Cricetulus griseus: one gene and its partners. The protein of the gene in region 1 purifies or fractionates together with the protein of each later gene. This does not show direct contact. Links are inferred from orthologs where the notes say so. Each region holds a gene or a part of one and is shown in the gene's direction. Other genes may lie near its edges. The genes, in order: Usp25, Kctd10 and Klhl9.

Region 1 (3,651 bases):
TATATAGGATTTCAAGACAGCCTGGCCTATGAGACCCTTTCCAACCCCAATGGAGATTATATGATAATGTCCATTGGTATTAATAAGAATTTGGGTCTTGTTTGTTTAGAAATAAAATATTGTGCTACATAAATTTCTATTTATATGTTACTATGCTTGAAACATTAATAGTTCAGGGCTAGGTATGTAATTAATGATTCCTTAAAGTGAATTTAGGAAATGCCTGGTTTTTATCTTGAGCTCATGAACTGTAGACAAAGATAATGAAGTTTTTTCACTTTATAGTAGGAAAAAACCTGTGTTGCTATTGGAGAAAATGCGTTCCCAATACAGACATGCTACATAATATTCTCTGAGCATCCTCTCATGTACTACAGAAATGTGTAGAAGACTGCTTTCCACAGTTTTGGTCACTTCACTTCTCCCAGCCACTGTGGGTTCTCATCAGTTAAAATGTGTAGTAAGTTAGTTGGAAAGATATTTAAAGGACTGAGGTAAATTTTGAAGTAACAATTCTAAAAGTATGCTGGCCTGTTTGAATATCACAAATGAAGTTTGGAATATTATCCTATGGAATCAGGAATTTGTCTATAAGAGATCAGAGACAATGTTTTAATTTTTATCTAACCTTAGAAATGAGAAAGAACTAAATGGAATGGGCTGGACAGATGGCTCAAAAGTTACGAGCTTGTGCCACTTATCCAGAGGTCCTGAGTTCAGTTCCAAGCTCGGAGCACACTACCTCCCATAACTCAATCTCCAGGGACTTTTCTCTTTTAAACCTAGCATAGCATACTTATTATACTAGGTCTTTGGTGATTCTTATAAAACATGTTCCTTATATCTGACCTGGGCAAAACCTTACTCATATTCAGTTCAGGTAAGTGTAGCAGAGCCAGTGATCAGTAGTGCTTGGGGAGGGAGAAATAGCAACAAATAAGTATATGACTTCTAGTAGCTTTACTTGGAGAAAAGTAGCAGCTCTAGATTCAAGTTCACTTCTTTTTGCTAAGCCTGAGATGTTTATTCCTGTGTTTGGGTTCAGGTCTAAGCTCATCCACACTTACTGAGGGGGTGTGGTGGCATTCTCCTGACACTGGGAGCATTGACACACTGTGAAGTAGGTGCTGCATTTCCTTCAACAGAATCTTGTTGTAGGGCTTATAAAAATAAACACTTAAAAAGCATTTGTTCTATTTTTTTTTACATCTCTATATTGGTTTGTGAATATAAACATTCATCTTTTTAAACAAATGGTAGGCTTTTGTAAATCTTGAAGTTTTCACGAAAAGAAGTTTTTTGAAGTTTTGTTGACTCATGTGCGCATGTGTGGATGACAACTGGGTCATAACAGCAAGAAATTTAACACTGTAAACACTAGTTTGTATTTGAATACTCTGAATATGTTTCTTATAAGCATAATTTTATTCACTGATGACAAATCTATTTCCTGAATTAGTATAATGTGTAGTTGTAAAATTCAAGGTAAAAATAAGAAGACAAAAGAATAATATAGGAAGATAATGTTTTCCCGAGAACAGTGAGTATTTGTACCAGACAAGTATTTTCTTCCCTTTCAGTCAAGTCATGGGATTTGACAAGCTGGTTGAGTTCAGTATCACTCAACATAAGACTGAAGAAGGCAGAGCTCTTGAGTCTTAATGGCAACAGGTGTCTCCTTTTCTTCTGGCTGGAATTTCTAATGTGAACAATTGTGGAAGAAGAGCCTTGTGGAGATAAGGCTTCCCTCTGTCCTCTTATTGTCAGACCCACTGTTGGGATTTGCAAATGCTGTGGAATTTTTCAAAAGGAAGTTTAGCTGTTAGGAAACCATTGTATTCCCTCCTCAGTGGTGTCAGATGGTGACATCAGCACCATCATTGCACCCTATCCATAAAAGTGCCATGGGGCAAAACAGAGAGGGAGATTCTGAGTGTCTGTTGTTGTTGTCTTTCAGCATTGGTTTACTGAGCTGCCACCTGTATTAACATTTGAACTGTCAAGATTTGAATTTAACCAGGCATTGGGAAGACCAGAAAAAATTCACAACAAATTAGAATTCCCCCAAGTTTTGTATCTGGACAGGTATGGTTTATTTAGAATGGTATAATTTTGCAACAGTTCAGTGAGTCTCAGCTTAACTGATATACGTTATCTCACTAATTGTCAAGGGAATGTTAATTTTCTTTTATATAACTGTATTTTGGAATGTTAAAATAGTTCTTGTTTTACATGTGATACCTTATAAAATTTCAGTTGATCTTTTGTTGTGATAATTAGGCTGCACACCATATCTATTTCCAAGATACTTGGGAATACTAATGATTGCTCGTTTTTTCCTTGATATAGGTATATGCACAGAAACAGAGAAATAACAAGAATTAAACGTGAAGAGATCAAAAGACTTAAAGATTACCTCACAGTATTACAACAAAGATTAGAAAGGTATTTTAACTGCTATGACATTGTGATGGGAAAGCATGTGTTTTGTGACTAGATTTTTAATGTTAAATATGCTTTGGGGAGCTTATAATAGTAGTCATAGATAATCATTCTGGATTTAAATTTTGATCAATAATTTCAGAAACTAGGTTGCACCTTTAATAGGCTTTAGATGATTATTTTAGAAATTGAAATTAAATATGTGATTATCAACAGCTTGTTACCCTGATGCTGTACATGGAGCTAAAGGACTCCAACACAGAGCATGAGATTTACTTTGTGCTGAAGGGAATGGCAAATAAGATAACACTAGTGTCCCTGGCCTCCCAAGATTCATGCAGCAGTGTCACTCGGGAATAAGATGGGCAGGGAGGGAAGATTATAGGAGTGTGACTGGAGCCAGTGCTATCAAGTACCCAAGGGAGGGCTGTATGTGCAGATGTTTTTACATCCACAGTACTGCTTGATTCCTTAGGAAACAGCATAAAATGTAGAATGTGGGTGTCATGCAGCCAGGTAAGTCTACAGGCTGAAATGCGGTTTGAGTAATTCAGGTTGCTTACCTCCAACTTTACCCTCTGCTTTGATTTTAGTCTTCATATTCATAACATAAAATGTTGAGTTTGGCTGGGCGTTGGTGGTGCACACCTTTAATCCCAGCACTCGGGAGGCAGAGGCAGGCAGATCTCTGTGAGTTCGAGGCCAGCCTGGTCTCCAGAGTGAGTGCCAGAATAGGCTCCAAAGCTACACAGAGAAACCCTGTCTCGAAAAAACAAAAACAAAACAAAACAAAACAAAACAAAAGTTGAGTTCAAATTATCATATTTCCAGTGACTTTTATTCATAAAAGATTCCCATACATGTATGAAAAGTGCTCACAAGGTAAATGATGTTAAAGTCACTACCTTGAAGGCAAGGCTAGAGTAGAGAAGGGAGCGTTTGCAGACGATTCATCACTGTGTCTTCCTGCTGATCCACAGTTTAGAAGAGCATCTTCTCACTGATCTGCAGTTTAGAACAGCACCTTAGGTATATCCGTACTCACGGCTTTCCATCTTGATCAGCTTTGCTGTCCTTCCCTTCAAGATCATTTAGTGCATTTCCTTAATGTGTATTCTGTTTCATCTTCTCCCTTAGAAAGTAAGCGAGTTTCATTTCTGCCTTATTTTATAAGACTTAGAAAACCAAATACGCTGACAATATATATAA
Region 2 (3,651 bases), about 76 Mb from region 1:
ACCTCATTGAGACATTGGGAGACGTTTGCAGAGTAACCCTGGGATCTACTTGCTGTAACAGAGCTCTGCTTCCAAAGGTTTTGAACACAACTGTCAGGGAACCATTCCCCCATCATTAGAATGTGGTCATTTGTACATCCCACCTGGGATGCTGTTGTCTAGGTGATACTTGACGGTACTTGAGAAACATTTTGTGCTCAGATCTTTACCTTAGCAGTTGTGTCATCTGTAGATTGCAATCCTTCAAGCTCCACCCTGAGACTGCCTCCCTATGTTTGTTGGAAGTCCAGAGAAACCTCCAGACACACTCCCTTTACTCTTTGTGTATCCTGAAGCAGGACCAGTAAGGGCCAAATCCACAGAGCACATGTAGTCAGTAGCTTTTCCTTTGTGCTGCGATAGCTTGTGATTAAGCCTTCCCTGAGCCTTGGAGCTGTGTCTAGCCCTCACTGGGACAGTATTCATTGTCTTGCCACACACATCTCTTGCCTGTGAGCCCTTGTAAATGTTATCCATTCACTGGAGTCATTCTTACATTTATTGACATTGTGCAGGCACATCATGCAGGAAGTACAGCGACACTGCATGGTTGATGGCTTGTGCCACCATTGCCTTCCCACCTCCCATGCCCCTTTCCCCAGGCAGGCTCTCTGCTGCTGTCTATTCTTAGCTTTAGACAGGACCTACTGGACTTAGAAAATTAGACTTCTCGTATATTCCCTCCCCTCCACCAAGCTTGCATGTTCCTTCTCGCAGAAGAGTTTAATCACAGCTTTGGGTTAGACAGTGTCCTAGTTCACCCTGTCATTGTCAATCTTGCTGTGCCCTGTGGCATTTTGTTTGCTTGATTTCTAATTGCATTTCTGTCCCTACTTGATCCCCAGGTTCACAGATAGGAGGGCCAGTCTCATGCTGGACTGTCCAGATGTCTCCAAGATCCTCTGTCACCTTTGTGTCGGGACATGTCCTCTGGCTTCTGTCTACAGATCTGAGGTTCATCCTCCAGGACATGGCTCCTTGTCACTTCCCTACCATGTCTGGAAGCTGTTTTCATGTTGTGTTGCCCTTGTTTCAGAAGGTTCCCCTCCCCCATCTATTTGTCATTCAATCTGCTCTGTCTGCTCCTTCAGTGGCTCTCTCCCTTGAATTTTCACTGTTTCTGTTGGTTCCAGTGTCATGTTTGAGAGGCTTCCCATACATAATTGGATGACCCTTGGTTTCTGTTGAGGCCCAAGGAAAAGCCACATATGTGGGGCTGTCAGTCCTAGTCTTCTGGAGCCTTCGTGGTTGGATAATAGACTGACTGACTTCACTGATAGCCTCTTGTTCAGAAGATGATGCCCTGTGAGGAGCTCTCTACTGCCAGCTGTGGCATTGCCTGAAATCCAGGCTTTCAGAAGGCTTGGGGGAGTTGCACATTGTTAGAGCAGTAACGCATCTCTGCCCTCTGTCACCACTGCAGGAATGTGGACCTTTCTTTGGCTGACTGAGCTGGCTCTGCCCTCACCCCAGCCCCCAGTCTGCAGTGGTCCCCGAGGACTTTCAGGCTTTCTTCTTCCCTCACATGAGCTCCCTCTGGCTCCCTCCTTGCCTTTCAGCTGGAGTCTGCTTGCCAGCTCAACCCATGACGCAGTTTGTCTTCTGACTCCACTTTGCCTGTTCTCTTCATTCTGCTGCTGTCATTAGAGTGGATTGTAGGGGCTTTTGATGTCACCGCCTGACATACTGAGGGCTTCCTGGGCAGAGAGAGCTGTGTCATTCTTGTATTTAGTGGGCAGTCAGGCATATCACAGCCCTAAACAGCAGACTCCTCCCCTAGCCTTACCCTTCCTAATTATCAGGTGCAAAGTGTCCTCTCCTCCCGCCATGACTGTCCTGTGTCTCCTCATCAGGGCCTGGCTTTCTGGCTGGTCAGCTTAAACAGCTGTGTGCTAGGCAGACCCCCGGGCTGAAAGCATGTCTTGTTCCAGCAGAACAAAGATACTTATGAACCCTTCTGCAAGGTTCCTGTCATCACCTCCTCCAAGGAAGAACAGAGACTTATAGCGACTTCAAATAAGGTGTGTAGAGGCTTGGGAGTGGGATGTGTGTGTGGGGGGGGGGAGATGTTGTCCAGGCTCAGAGGCAGGGGTGGCAGCAGTGCCTGTGTTTTGAGATAAAGTTCCCGTTCTAAGTGTTAAGCCCCATCTCCTATGTTACCCCTGTCCCCGGAACCCGCAGCAACCCTCCTCCTGTAAGCTCTGCAAGCCTGTGCCCACAGCCACTGGGAAGCCAGTGTGTACTGACCCACATGTCTAGTGACTGTCCTCTCCTTTTACCCACCCACAGCCGGCTGTGAAGCTGCTCTATAACAGAAGTAACAACAAATACTCCTACACCAGGTAAGCACCAGCCAGCAGTTATGCCAGGCTCTGCCTGTGTCTATTTCACACCAGAAGGGTCCTCTGGGTCCTTAGCTGGGTGGATAGATGGGTAGGTGAAACTTTGGGTGGAATTCCCCATGCCACACAATTCACCTTTTGTGTTGTACAGTTGAGTGGTTTTGACATACCCACAATGTGCAGTCACCAACACTTGCTAGTATTGAAAGATTTTTTTCACCCTGCTAGCAGTCCTTCTCAGCTTCCCTGGCCAGAGCAGTTGTTAGCCTACATTTCTGTGTCTGTAAATTTGCCTGTTTCAAACATGTCATGATTTTGCGGCTGATCTCTTCACTTAAGGTAATGTTTTCAGGGTCCATGCACTGTAGCACCATCCGTATGTCATTCTCCTTTATGGCAAACTGTCACACTTCACTCATCAGCATGGCCAGGCGTGGGGTCGTTGGCAGCTTCTGACGATTATGAACAATACTGCTGAAAGTTTAAGTTTAATGTTTTATGGACTGAGGTGTTCCTTTCTTTTAAACATGAGGAGTGAGCTGCTGGTCATCTGTGACTTGTTTAGTTACTGGGGACTGTACTGTTTGAACAGTGCCACCAGCAAGTGGCAGGTGTTTCTAGAGTCCCCTTGGCTCTCAGGAACACACCCTGTAAATGAGCGACTTGAGAGATGTAGGGATTTAATGAGCTGAGCGGTGATGGCACACACCTTTAATCCCAACACTCAGGAGGCAGGGGCAGGAGGATCTCTGAGTTCCAGGCCAGCCTGGTCTACGGAGTGAGTTCCAGGACAGTCAGGGCTACCCTGTCTGAAAGAAACAAAAACAAAACAAAGGTCTTCCTTGGGCTCTGCTGTTATGTACCTCATGGGGCTTGGCAGAGAAGGGTAGGGCAGGCTCAGTAGCCTGTGCCCAGAGGTCCTGCATTCAGTAATCTACTGCAACCATGGGTTATGAGCACAGCCTTCAGGCCACAACTGTCTTTGGAGACCTAGCTCTGCCATTTGTACACTTTGGGACTTGGTGAACTGATGTCTTTGGGCGTCCTTTTCCTTCTCGGGCAGTAAATAATTACAGTGTCTTAGTGTTGCAAAGGCTCACTAAGTAGAAATAGAGAAGGAGAAGGAACCAGGGAGGCCTGGGCAGACATCTGCAGCCTGTGTTCACCTCACTGAACACTCTTTGCAGCAATTCTGACGACAATATGTTGAAGAACATCGAGCTCTTTGATAAACTTTCCCTGCGCTTTAATGGGAGGGTCCTATTCATAA
Region 3 (3,751 bases), on another chromosome or scaffold:
ATTTCTCAAGATCAGTCTCATTTAAACAGGGCTCTTGTATCAAATAGGTTGGATTGCTGCTAGAGCACCTTGGAAAAACAATGCTGGTCTACTAGCCTCTACAACATGTTTTAAGTAAGCTCTCTATATACCGATTTTGGAAAATCTTGAACAACAACAAAAAAAGAGAAAGATATAACAGGATATATGCTATTTAGTAAAAAAAGAAAAAAACCAAAACAGGAAGTAGAAGAACATAAGCATATTTTTAGTTTGCATACAAGAAAATGCTAGAAAGATTTAAAGACAGCGATAACGTCAAATTCAGAGAATAGAGAGTTATGGCAAATTATACACTTATTGCAAATCACAATTAAAATTTGCAATTAGAGAACTGTGTTTTAATAAATAAAAAAAGTCATAAAAGGGAAATCCAAGAGAAGGGAAATGCAAACCCAAGCAGTGCTGGTAACATTATTTTGGAAACATTGAGTTGAATATTCTAATAAATATTATCATTATTCAATAGAGAATAAGGTTTTGTGTGCAAATTCTCTAAGCTTATTAATTTTCCATAAGACAATGAAGGACAAGGTTTATACACTCAGGAGAAAAACAGTGGGCAAAGTAAACTATAACATGCTTAATTATTGGGAAATTGTGCAACCATTTAAAAAGTATTTAGGAAACAAAACCATGAATAAAGTCTTTATGATGGCTTTCCCTCTCCCTCCAAGTCTTCAAGAGGTATCATTAGGACCAAACTTTAGTAACAAGTTAAATGCCACGTGTTTTAAATGCTTAAAAACACTTACAACTCCTATTTTAAGTGAGGCATTTATTGAGTGTGATGTAAATTGTAAAACTTTTTTTTTTAATTAAATGATACAATGACTTATTCTGCCAGGTTTCTCCTCAGTTTTTAACAAAGGCTGCGTTTCGTGGCTGTTCTGGCACAAGCGAAGAAGCGTAAATCTTAGAAAGAATGCGCTCTTGGAAAGTGGTAAGAAAACCTCACGCAGCAAGCATGCATGCACGCCTGCGCACTCCTGCAAGCTTGCAAGAAGGGGGCCCCCTCCAGGGCCTCGCTGGGGGAGCGCAACCCCGCCCCCAGCCCGCCCGCGCCCTTCCCCCATCCGCCCGCCCCCTTGCCAGGCCAGCCGCGCAGGCGCAGTAGCTGTGCAGCCGCTCCTAACCCGGGGGATCCTGGGATTCGGCCTTTCCGGAAGGACGAGCTAGGTGTTCGGTCTAGGCCGCCGTTCCAGCCCTAAACCAGAGTTCCAGGTCCTGCTCCCAGCCGAGCCGGTGGCCGAGGAGACGCTACGCGGACCTCCGAGGGCGTAGCGGCGACTGGCGGAGGTGCGGAGCCCGGCGGGCGGTGGCGGCGGTGCGCAGGCCGTGACGGCCCCTCCCCCGCCCCGAGAGCAGCTGCAGAGGACGACAGCGCGGGCCCGCCGCGGTGAAGCGGTCGCTGAACTGCCTCAGGTTATGACTCACCGGCTTTACTGTCACATTTGAGGTCCGCCGGCCGCGTTGCGTGATCCTGCCGCAGGGCGGGCGTGGGTGTGCGCGGAGCGGAGCGGAGCGGGGCTGCGGCGACTGATCGCCCTTGGTTCGTTCTGCGGCCCTGAGTTTGCTCAGAGCGTTCTCTTTGTAACGTCTGCGGCCTGTGGCTCGCTGCGAACGCAGGGCTCTCACATGAAGGTGTCTCTCGGTACCGGCGGCGAGATGGGCGTCTCTGCCCACCTGCAGCCCTGCAAGGCAGGAACGACGCGGTTTTTTACCAGCAATACCCACAGCTCGGTGGTGTTGCAAGGCTTTGATCAGCTCAGACTCGAGGGCCTGCTTTGTGACGTGACTCTGGTACCTGGTGATGGCGATGAGATCTTCCCGGTTCATAGAGCCATGATGGCGTCTGCTAGCGATTATTTCAAGGCCATGTTCACAGGCGGAATGAAAGAACAAGATTTAATGTGCATTAAACTTCATGGGGTGAACAAAGTTGGCCTGAAGAAAATCATTGATTTTATTTATACCGCAAAATTGTCCCTTAACATGGACAATCTTCAGGACACCCTTGAAGCTGCCAGCTTTCTACAAATCTTACCAGTTTTGGACTTTTGTAAAGTATTTCTTATATCAGGCGTCTCTTTAGATAACTGTGTTGAGGTCGGACGGATTGCTAACACCTACAATCTTATAGAAGTGGATAAATATGTAAATAATTTCATCCTGAAGAACTTTCCTGCATTGCTGAGTACTGGGGAGTTCCTAAAACTCCCCTTTGAACGGCTTGCCTTTGTGCTTTCCAGCAATAGTCTCAAGCACTGTTCCGAACTTGAACTTTTCAAGGCAGCCTGCCGCTGGTTGAGGCTGGAAGACCCTCGGATGGACTATGCTGCAAAATTAATGAAGAATATTCGATTTCCACTGATGACACCACAGGACCTCATCAACTATGTGCAGACAGTAGATTTCATGAGAACAGACAATACCTGTGTGAATTTACTTTTGGAAGCAAGCAATTACCAAATGATGCCATATATGCAGCCAGTGATGCAGTCAGACAGAACTGCCATTCGCTCTGATTCCACTCACCTTGTTACCTTAGGAGGCGTTCTGAGGCAGCAGCTAGTGGTCAGTAAAGAATTGAGGATGTACGATGAAAGGGCACAGGAGTGGAAGTCCTTAGCCCCCATGGATGCTCCTCGATACCAGCATGGCATTGCTGTTATTGGAAATTTCCTTTATGTAGTTGGTGGTCAGAGTAATTATGATACAAAAGGAAAAACTGCTGTTGATACAGTTTTCAGATTTGACCCTCGGTATAATAAATGGATGCAGGTGGCATCATTAAATGAAAAGCGCACATTCTTTCACCTGAGTGCCCTTAAAGGACATTTGTATGCAGTTGGTGGGCGCAGTGCAGCTGGTGAACTGGCCACAGTAGAATGTTACAACCCAAGAATGAACGAATGGAGCTATGTTGCGAAAATGAGTGAACCCCACTATGGTCATGCCGGAACAGTGTATGGGGGTCTAATGTATATTTCAGGAGGAATTACTCATGACACTTTCCAAAATGAGCTCATGTGTTTTGACCCAGATACAGACAAATGGACACAGAAGGCTCCTATGACTACAGTCCGAGGCCTGCACTGCATGTGTACAGTTGGAGACAAGCTGTATGTGATTGGTGGCAACCACTTCAGAGGAACAAGTGATTATGATGATGTTCTCAGCTGCGAATATTATTCACCAACTCTTGACCAGTGGACTCCAATTGCTGCTATGCTGAGAGGTCAGAGTGATGTTGGAGTTGCTGTTTTTGAAAACAAAATCTATGTTGTTGGTGGATATTCTTGGAATAACCGTTGCATGGTAGAAATTGTCCAGAAGTACGACCCGGAAAAAGATGAGTGGCATAAAGTTTTTGATCTTCCAGAGTCACTTGGCGGCATTCGGGCTTGTACTCTCACAGTTTTTCCGCCTGAAGAAAACCCTGGGTCACCTTCAAGAGAATCGCCTCTTTCAGCACCTTCAGATCATTCTTAGATACAAGGTGTAATACCTTTTCAGTGTATTCATGGATGATCTCCCTTCCCCTTCAATTGTCTCTTATTACTCTCTACAGTTAATAGACAAAAAGGTAACTTAGGGTTTTTTGTTTTGCTTAATATGTTATTAAATGGCTACCAAGTACATTCTGAAAAAAATGTGTTTTAACACATATTTAGCTGTTTTAACAAGTGAAAGATATATGAAAAATTAG

Evidence for each region.
Region 2: the proteins of Usp25 (region 1) and Kctd10 purify together in Homo sapiens (affinity purification with mass spectrometry; 4 studies listed by BioGRID and IntAct, counting the BioPlex papers as one, with this or other methods). This does not show direct contact. The link is inferred for Cricetulus griseus from reciprocal best matches to the Homo sapiens genes USP25 and KCTD10.
Region 3: the proteins of Usp25 (region 1) and Klhl9 purify together in Homo sapiens (affinity purification with mass spectrometry; 3 studies listed by BioGRID and IntAct, with this or other methods). This does not show direct contact. The link is inferred for Cricetulus griseus from reciprocal best matches to the Homo sapiens genes USP25 and KLHL9.

What each region holds. Positions count from the first base shown.
Region 1 is NC_048597.1:18,205,765-18,209,415, reverse strand, and holds part of Usp25 (ubiquitin carboxyl-terminal hydrolase 25), read left to right. Parts: intron 1-1,957; coding exon 1,958-2,085; intron 2,086-2,349; coding exon 2,350-2,445; intron 2,446-3,651. UniProt on the Homo sapiens protein: Deubiquitinating enzyme that hydrolyzes ubiquitin moieties conjugated to substrates and thus, functions in various biological processes including inflammation and immune response.
Region 2 is NC_048597.1:93,992,927-93,996,577, reverse strand, and holds part of Kctd10 (BTB/POZ domain-containing adapter for CUL3-mediated RhoA degradation protein 3), read left to right. Parts: intron 1-1,970; coding exon 1,971-2,060; intron 2,061-2,328; coding exon 2,329-2,381; intron 2,382-3,568; coding exon 3,569-3,651. UniProt on the Homo sapiens protein: Substrate-specific adapter of a BCR (BTB-CUL3-RBX1) E3 ubiquitin-protein ligase complex. The BCR(BACURD3) E3 ubiquitin ligase complex mediates the ubiquitination of target proteins, leading to their degradation by the proteasome.
Region 3 is NC_048595.1:59,402,556-59,406,306, reverse strand, and holds the start of Klhl9 (kelch-like protein 9), read left to right. Parts: upstream 1-1,154; 5' UTR 1,155-1,677; coding exon 1,678-3,534; 3' UTR 3,535-3,751.